2 linked regions of the Mus musculus genome follow. The protein of the gene in region 1 binds, or shares a complex with, the protein of each later gene. Links are inferred from orthologs where the notes say so. Each region holds a gene or a part of one and is shown on either strand. Other genes may lie near its edges. The genes, in order: Rab11fip2 and Rab25.

Region 1 (3,813 bases):
TTCTCAGTCGCCAGATAGATTCCTTTGGAGTTGTTCCAGAAAGTGGTAAGTGGTGCCATATTTCCTTTCTTCCTCTCTCCTATTTTATGTAGTGTAACTTCTAAAGATAGAAAATGAAAAGTAGTGTTTCTAAAGCCAGTCATTGATTGTTTGAGTACCTCCCAACACCTAATTGATAGATTCACCGGAGACATGCTTGCTTGTATCTATATTTTTGTTGTATGTGGTAGAGAAATGAATCCTAGCCTTCTTTTGTGGCCTGGCCTCTTTTTTCTGTTATCATTTCTCCATTTCAAAAGCTTGCAGCGGGAAATGTTTGGCAAAGTGCTTGCCTTGAAAGCATGAGGATCTGAGGAGTTCCTTAGACACCCAAATGCACACTGAGACAGTAAGGCAGGAATGGAGGAGGTAGAGACAGGTGCATGTCCGGGGCTCCCTGGCCAGTCAGCCAAGACCACTTGGGAAATTCCATACCAGTAAGAGATTTTGTCTCAAAACCAAGATGGGTAGTTCTTGAGGAATGACAGTGTTGGTTGACCTCTGGCCTCCACGCATATCCATGGACACACCAAAGAGGAAAAAGAGCCTGTAGCATATATTCCATTCCATACAAGTGTTTCTAGAAAAATTTCTATATTCAGAGGAAACAAAATTGGATTCTAATGGTGGAAAAGTTTAAGACTTTTCAGTATGATTGTGAGAGCAGGCCCTTTGGATGGATTTTACACTTTTCTCATGTGATCGGTTCTGAGCCAAAGAAGATAGTAATATAATTGTCTAAAAATATAGTATCATAGCACATCTACTTATAATACCCCTTACCTAATTTTAAGATTGTTTTGATTATTTTGAGGGTTGATATCTTGTTAATTGCTCTCATTCTGAAGCAGCAGAATGTATCAGATAGTGTAACAGCATATGTCACCCATCACCTACTAATGGGAAAAAATGTTTGTAGGAAGTCTCAAGTCTCCACACAGACGAACACTAAGCTTTGATACTTCTAAATTGAACCAACCTGGCAGCATTGTGGATGAAGGTGAACACTCTTTTGGAAGACAGAGTGACCCATTTACAAATGTGACTGCTTCATTACCCCAAAAATTTGCAACACTGCCAAGGAAGAAGAATCCATTTGAAGAAAGCAGTGAGCCATGGGACAGCAGCATGAATTTATTCTCAAAACCAATTGAAGTCAGGAAAGAAAGTAAGAGAGAGAAAAGGGAGAAGGTGAGCCTCTTTGAAAGAGTGACTGGCAAGAGAGATAGCAGGAGACCTGACAAGCTGAACAATGGTGGATCTGATAGCCCATGTGACTTGAAATCACCTAGTGCTTTTAGTGAAAACCGGCAGGACTATTTTGAATATGAGTCAACTAACCCGTTTACAGCAAAATTCAGGGCTTCAACTATAATGCCATCTTCAAGGTAAGCTCACCAGGAGGAACATGTGCCGTTTGGGGGACCTTGTACTTGAAAATAATAAGTATTCCTTTTAGATGCATGAATATTTTATATTCTTTTTATTTACTTATTTATTTTTACCTTTAAAAAAAAAACTATCCATCATAGATCTAAACATTGTTGTTTGCATGTGTCCTTGGAATTGAATGTTTTACCTTGGAAGAGCAAAGACTTTTTCCTTTCTACCTCAGTCTGCTCCTACCTATGGGAGCCAGAAACCTACCATAGTTCTTGGAGAAAACAGCATGGTATTTGATGAGACCCAGTAAAAGTGAATAGACCATGGGCATGAATTCAATCCAGAAGTATATTTCTAGGTGCTTCCCAGGGATTAAATCACGGGCTGTCAGGAGAGCGCCAGTGAGCCAGAAGCAGTCAGCATGGTGCTATTTAGCAAATGCTGAAGTACTAATGTTGTCATAAAAGATGTTAACTGTCTTTATTAGATGGCTGATCAGAAATATCTTTTATTCATGAATACATGAATGTCTTCTTGAATCCAGGGACCCTTGGGGGTACTGTCTGTACCCTAACCAGAGCCCTGGGTGACAAGTAGCCATGGGTACAATCAGCTGATGAAAGTTAGAGTTTTAAAGCTTTGGGTCCTTCTGTGTACATGGCTGCTTACTTCACAGCATTAAAGTCAGAGGTTCTGCAGTTCTGAGTGATAGAGGACCTGCTTAAGGAACCTCAAGCAAAGATGAAGATGACCATGAAGTTTTTAAGTAATTGTAGAGAAATACAGTAGAGGCTGAGTGTCCTGTGTAATATACAGACCTGAGTGGGAATCCTGACTGTGGAGTACTGTGACCTCTCTAGACCTCAGCATCTACATCTCTGAAGCAAAGAGGATATATGTAGTTTGTAGGATGTAGTGAGGCTAAGTAACACACACATGAAACACACAGTACAAAGCCAGGTACCAAGCGGGGATCGAATAGATGGTCACTGCTTCAGGCTGAGTATCCTTCACTTGGAACCCGATCCACTTTTATGTAGAAGTAGAATGACAGTTTAACGCTTTCATCGTGGGTAGAACCTTGAGCTTCAGATTTGGAATTTTTCAGATTTGTAATTTTTACATGGAAAGTCAATGCTGATATTCTAAAATTCTAAAACCAAACTGAACCACTTTGGGTCCCAGAAATACTGGGTAAGGGACAGGTGACCAATTGATGTCTTATATATCCTTTTCTTTAAAATTGGGGCTTTTTGTTTTGTCCCAGTACTTACAGAAGACGGAGCATTAACAGCCACTTGGGTACGCTTTTCTCTTAGACCTCTCCATCATGAATGCAATGCCCACCCTTGAATGTATATCTTCTATGCTATGTTAAAAAATGCTCTTAAAATTTCCAGAGGGAAGTGCTCATTTTCTGTTTGTTTTCTTTATTATTAGATGGGAATTTGCTGTAGTTTTAGAAAAAAAATTCATTCAGTTTTATCTATAGACTATACTTCAGAGAAATAAATTTTTATTTTGTGCTTTCCTGACACAGAGATACTTCTTCATGTGTCTCTACTTCATCAACTCTTAAGTACAAGCTAAATAAGAGTGTGCCCCTCCCTTTCTGAACACTTATTTTTTTGCAGAGATTACTGAAAACAAGTGTTCAAGGTAACTTAGAGATTGGCTAAACTAGGTAATTTTAGAGTCAGTGAAAAGCAGGAAAAAAAAGGGAACTAGTTTTAAAATAATACAATACAAATAATATGAAAAGTAACTGTCCTCAAGCTGTGGCCTCTGTGGCTTTAACAGGGAGACGGCCTGCACTAGATTTCAGCTTCATTTTGTTCCACTTTAATATTAACACTACTATCAAAATCAAGGTTGTATTATAAATCCTATGGTTACAAGTATATAAGAAAAAAATTCTTTTAGAACTTAAGACTTTTTCTTTGTATTTATGAAGCTCCAGGTATGGGGACAGAAAGTGCATTCCTGGAAGTTTCTGTCACAAGTCATCTTTCTGGTAAACTAGAACATTTGTAGTTAATGGGTGTCTCCAGTTAAGGCGTAGAACAGAATTTTTTCCCAGTATGTTAAGTAAAACCTACTTAGAGAGCTCCTGAACTCTTGTGACCCATGGTTTTGAGACTACTGTGTCAACTTAAAGCACAGTCCATTGCCAAGAAGCTGGTGTGTGAACTGACACGCCTGTGATTGCAGGAGCACAGGAACCATGTCTGTCCTCTAAGTAACTAAGCATGCCACTAGAACTGGAGAATTTTCTTTATATTCCTCTATTTTCTGTCACTAAGAACATAATTTTTAGAAGTTAAAGTTTTTAGTGTTTGTATATGTAACATCTGCCCAAGGAAAAGGCACATTGGAAACTACAAAATACAC
Region 2 (4,571 bases), on another chromosome or scaffold:
GGGATGATGATCTGGAGGGAGGGGCGGGGCCCTAGAAACGCCATATCGGGCGAGGTACAGGAAGGGGGGGTTGCTTTTTTCTGAATAAATTTTCAACTCTTACCTGTGTCTCACCTGCTTTCTTGGGAGGAAAGTGTGGAGTGGTTTCCTCGGGAGGATTCCCCTCTCCTGCAAAGGTGGGCTCTCTCATTCCCCATCACCAAATCTCTCAGTGGTTCTTGGCAGGGCTGCCCAGTGCCCTTGGCTTCTCCAGTGCTGTGTCTCATCATACTCCTAATTGCTTTTTTTTTCCATTAATTTATATGTTTATTCTATTTACATTGCAAAAAGCTCCCTTCCCATCCTCCCAGAATTGCTTTTCTTTAAACAATTTGTTTTTTGGTTTTTGTGAGACAGGATTTCTCTGTATAACCCTGGCTGTCCTGGAATTCACTTTGTAGACCAGGCTGGCCTCCAACTCAGAAATCCGTCTGCCTCTGCCTCCCAAGTGCTGGGATTAAAGGTATGTGCCACTACACCCGTGTGAAAAAATTGTTTAGGTTATTTTATGTACATGAGTGTTTTGACTGTTTGTGTGTCTGCACTTGTGCCTGTAAAGGGCATCAGATATCCCTGAAACCAGAGTTAGCAGGTGGCTGTGAGAGAGCTATGCTGAGAACCTAACCAGGGTCTTCTGCAAGAGCAGCGGTGCCCTTAGCTGCTGAGCTCACTCAACCCTCAGAGCAGAATCTCACCCGCCCGTTTTGCAGCACCTGGGACTGATCTAAAGGAGCAAATGCCTGTTCTTGCTGGACACAGAAAATAGAGGTCACCCTTTCTAATTTAAGGAGTGCTCCTGCTCCTTTCCCTACCTTTTCATGATCCTCTCTGCAGCATTTGTTTTAATTTAAAAAAAAAAAAATCGTGTGTGAGCACAGCAGACTCCTCTGCATTGCCTTTACTTATTTACTGTTTGCGTACATGACGCGTGGATAGGTGTGTCCCACATACAAGCATGGCAGTCAGAAGATTGACCCCCAGAAGGCCTCAAGGTCTTCATCTCAGATCCTGCACCCATATTCACCGCATCCAGCTCTTTCTGCCCTTGTCTCTGAGATCCGTCCACGAAGGTAGTAAATCTGTTTATTGTATGTTAGGAAGGGACCCATCTGGGCAGGTGGCGTCCCAGCTCCACCTGTGTGAGAAATGCTGCCCCTCCCTGGCCTGGGGCTGTTAAGGAGGGGCCGGATGCTGCGTGCTGGTACAGCTCCCAAAACTCTGCATTGTGGGGAGATGCTGTGCCCAGCTTGCATTTCTTGCCCTGATAGCCCTTCCCCTGATGCCCCCCGGTATGTGTCCTTACCAAAACCTGAGATGGGAAAGCTGGAGGCCGGTACGTTTCTGCCCCACCCCGTGTCTACTTCAGCCCAGTGGCAGCTCTCCTTCTTAGAACCCCCAAAACCCAGCAATGTACACTCGGGCTCGCCGCAGCCTCACCCACTGTTACCTCTGTGACCAGGCCCTCTTATTTGGGGGAGTGTGGGCCAAGAGCAGACACCTAACCTGTTTAACCTGTCTGACGTCATCATCGCTCCACCCACCTGTGCCCCAGGTGCCCAGCGGAGCTGGCTAGCTCTTCCTGTTCTCAGCTTCCGTCCTCTCAGCTCCCACAGAGTAGCTAAACGTGCCAGAGCTGAGCCTCTGGGGCTCTTCCTGGCCTCAACTGAGCCCTCTTGTCCTTTTCCCCCAATGAGAGAGGAGCCAGGTGCAGGTCTCTTAAAAGCTGAGAGTTGAGGCCATTTAAACAATAAACAGACTCGTGACCTCTGCACCTGCAAACGTCTTCACTCTCCATGCTGAGCCAAGATGGGGAATCGAACAGATGAAGATTATAACTTTGTCTTTAAGGGTAAGTTGGGGTTCTCGAAAAGGGAGACTCCAGAGAGGGTGGGAGAGAGGCTATTTCCAGAGGACACAGGGTCTCCCTTTTATTTTTATCTCTACCTTGGACATTCTCCCCCCACCCGTCCCCAAGCTCAGCATTCCTTCTCCGAGAGAAAGGCCATGAGGAGTAGGCATGTCTGGTTACAGGTACAGATGTTCTGGAGTTGTATGCTCTCTATAAAGATGTGGATAATTTCTCCCTATTGCCAAATTATTCTTCCCTGCCCAGTCTCTAATAGATGCTCAAATCCCTGGGAATGTCAGTGAAGCCCAAGAGATGGAAGTCGGACTTCAGAAAGGACTTTCAGAGTAGAGGGAGAAGCAAGCCTATTTAAGAGGAAGAAAGTCATCTCTACCAGCAGATGCGTAGGAAGGGGTGCGCCCCCCCCCCCACCCCCCACCCCCCACCCCCCCCCCCCCGCAGTCATTGTTGATCTAGGTAGTTGACACATAGGGAAGTTGATACTTAGGTAGTTGATACACCCGGACAATGCATTGACTCTCCAGCCATCTAATGGATTCCACAGGACTCCTGGGCTGCAGCCTGTGCCATGCATGGCCTCTTGTACCACACAATCTTTGGACCCAGATACTAGGCACAGGGTTTGCTGGGCTGTTTCTGACAGTGCACATGCATCCTGCCTGCTTGCTTTCCCTCAGCTCCTGGTGTTTGGTCTCTCTGTGGGTCTCTAGCTCTCCTTCTTGAAGGCTAGGTGGCCTGGTGGCACTCTCCTTTCCTTTGCACCACACCCACAGCCTCTCCCAACCTCAGCCCCACCCTGGCCCAAGCTGGGGAGCCTGTACTCCTGGCATTTTCCCAAGGAATCTGGTGGGGCTGTGGCCATGGTATAGTAACTCCCGTTTGTTGAGGCCCTACTGGGTGCCACTCTCACACACTCATCTTACAGCCCTGGTGTGAGCTATCACCGTGAGTGGTTGCATGGCCTCTCTGCCACTTACCAGTTAGCTCAGATGGGGTCCCAGTGCCACTTCTGAGAAGTGTCGGGTATTCTGTAATGATTATAAGCCACCACATGTGAAGATAAGCAGGAGGAAGCAGGACTAGGCAGAGGATAGTCACCTGCCTGCCATGAGAGAGAGCTCAGAGCTACTCAGGGAACAGGGAGCTTTGGAGTAGCCTTGGAACACTGTCCCTGGGGTACCACATGGAGCTGTCCAGAGAGGTTTGACATCCCCATGTCCGTGAGGGCTCACCTGTGAGCTGTCACTGCTACTGCTTTCCTCCCTGCAATGAGGGGGCGGGGCAGATCCTTCCCCGAAGGTAGAGGTGAGCAGCACATCTATGTTTAGAGCAGTGTGATAGACCTACTAGCTGGGTGCCTTCCTTGTCTATAAAAATGGGCATGGTGGCTGGGCGGTGGTAGTGCAGGCCTTTAATCCCAGCACTGACGAGGCAGAAGCAGGTGGATCTCTGAGTTCGAGGCCAGCCTGGTCTACAGACTGAGTCCCGGGACAGCCAGGACTATACAGAGAAACCCTGTCTTGAAAAAACAAAATAATAATAATAATAATAATAATAATAATATGGGCTGAAGAGATGGCTCAGTGGTTAAGAGCACTGACTGCTCTTCCATCCAAAGGTCCTGAGTTCAAATCCCAGCAACCACATGGTGGCTCACAACCATCTGTAATGAGATATGGTACCCTCTTCTGGTGTGTTTGAAGATAACTACAGTGTACTTACATATAATATAATAATAAATAAATCTTTTTAAAAGTCTAATAATAATAATATAAACAAAAATGGGAACAATAAAGGCATTTACCTCAGGCATTGTTGTGGGGTTACATAAAGTTTTTTGGATAATGGCTGATGTGATGGAAACACTCTGTAAATGTTAGCCACTGGCATTTTACAGAGGAGGACACTAAGATGTAGAGAGAGACTTAAGTTGTTTGCCAAAAAGAAGTCACTAAAGGGGCTGGAGAGGTGGCTCTGTGGGTAAGTACCCACATGGTGGTTACACTCATCTTTAACTCCAGTTCCAGGTGACCTGACACTCCACCAGGCATGCATGTGGTATACAAACACATGTAGAAGCCACATGCTCACTTACATAAAATAGATAAATCTTAAAACAAAATTAAAAGGCCTCAAAGCCAGTAGGGACAGCTACCTGCCTAGCATTAAAACCTTGCCTGAGGACAGGGTAGCGGATGGATGAATGGGAATGCTTCTCCTCACAAAGGAGAGGCAGTAACACACATGCATGCAAAAAGGTGCACTCCAGCACCTGCCTCTCACCCACAGAAGTGTCACCAGCCAACCTTAACCTCAGTCTTCCATGGAAACACACCAAATACCCAAGCCCTTCTTCCTCATCCTTCCAATTCACTTACAGACATCTGCATCCTTCCCATACTCCCTAGTCCAGAAATGTGCACTCCAGGCCTTCCGTGCTTTTATCCTTTCTCACGTGACCTGTCTCAGTAACCTTTCCACATGTCCTCTGCCAGCAGCCCACAGCTGTTGCTCTTAACTGCGGTACCCTGCTGCCTCAGCAGCCCCTGTCTCGAACACTGCTGGCCCTTCTGTTCCCCGGCCCTAGACAGATGTCCTATGTACTGTGGCCAATCCCCTCAGTGTCTCTGCCAGAAGAGACAACTCTTTTCTTGCTTTTCTGATC

The links.
Region 2: the proteins of Rab11fip2 (region 1) and Rab25 are in contact, whole or in part, in a crystal structure (PDB 3TSO), measured with the Homo sapiens proteins. The link is inferred for Mus musculus from reciprocal best matches to the Homo sapiens genes RAB11FIP2 and RAB25. Residues at the interface, in NP_055719.1 of Homo sapiens: Arg475, Glu478, Ile481, Asp482, Asn483, Leu485, Val486, Met489, Pro493, Ser494, Leu496, Arg497, Val498, Pro499; in NP_065120.2 of Homo sapiens: Arg34, Ile45, Gly46, Val47, Glu48, Phe49, Ser50, Thr51, Lys62, Trp66, Arg73, Arg75, Ala76, Ile77, Ala80, Tyr81.

What each region holds. Positions count from the first base shown.
Region 1 is NC_000085.6:59,933,220-59,937,032, reverse strand, and holds part of Rab11fip2 (rab11 family-interacting protein 2), read left to right. Parts: coding exon 1-45; intron 46-958; coding exon 959-1,427; intron 1,428-3,813. UniProt on the Homo sapiens protein: A Rab11 effector binding preferentially phosphatidylinositol 3,4,5-trisphosphate (PtdInsP3) and phosphatidic acid (PA) and acting in the regulation of the transport of vesicles from the endosomal recycling compartment (ERC) to the plasma membrane.
Region 2 is NC_000069.6:88,545,350-88,549,920, reverse strand, and holds the start of Rab25 (ras-related protein Rab-25), read left to right. Parts: upstream 1-1,641; 5' UTR 1,642-1,845; coding exon 1,846-1,888; intron 1,889-4,571. UniProt on the Homo sapiens protein: The small GTPases Rab are key regulators of intracellular membrane trafficking, from the formation of transport vesicles to their fusion with membranes.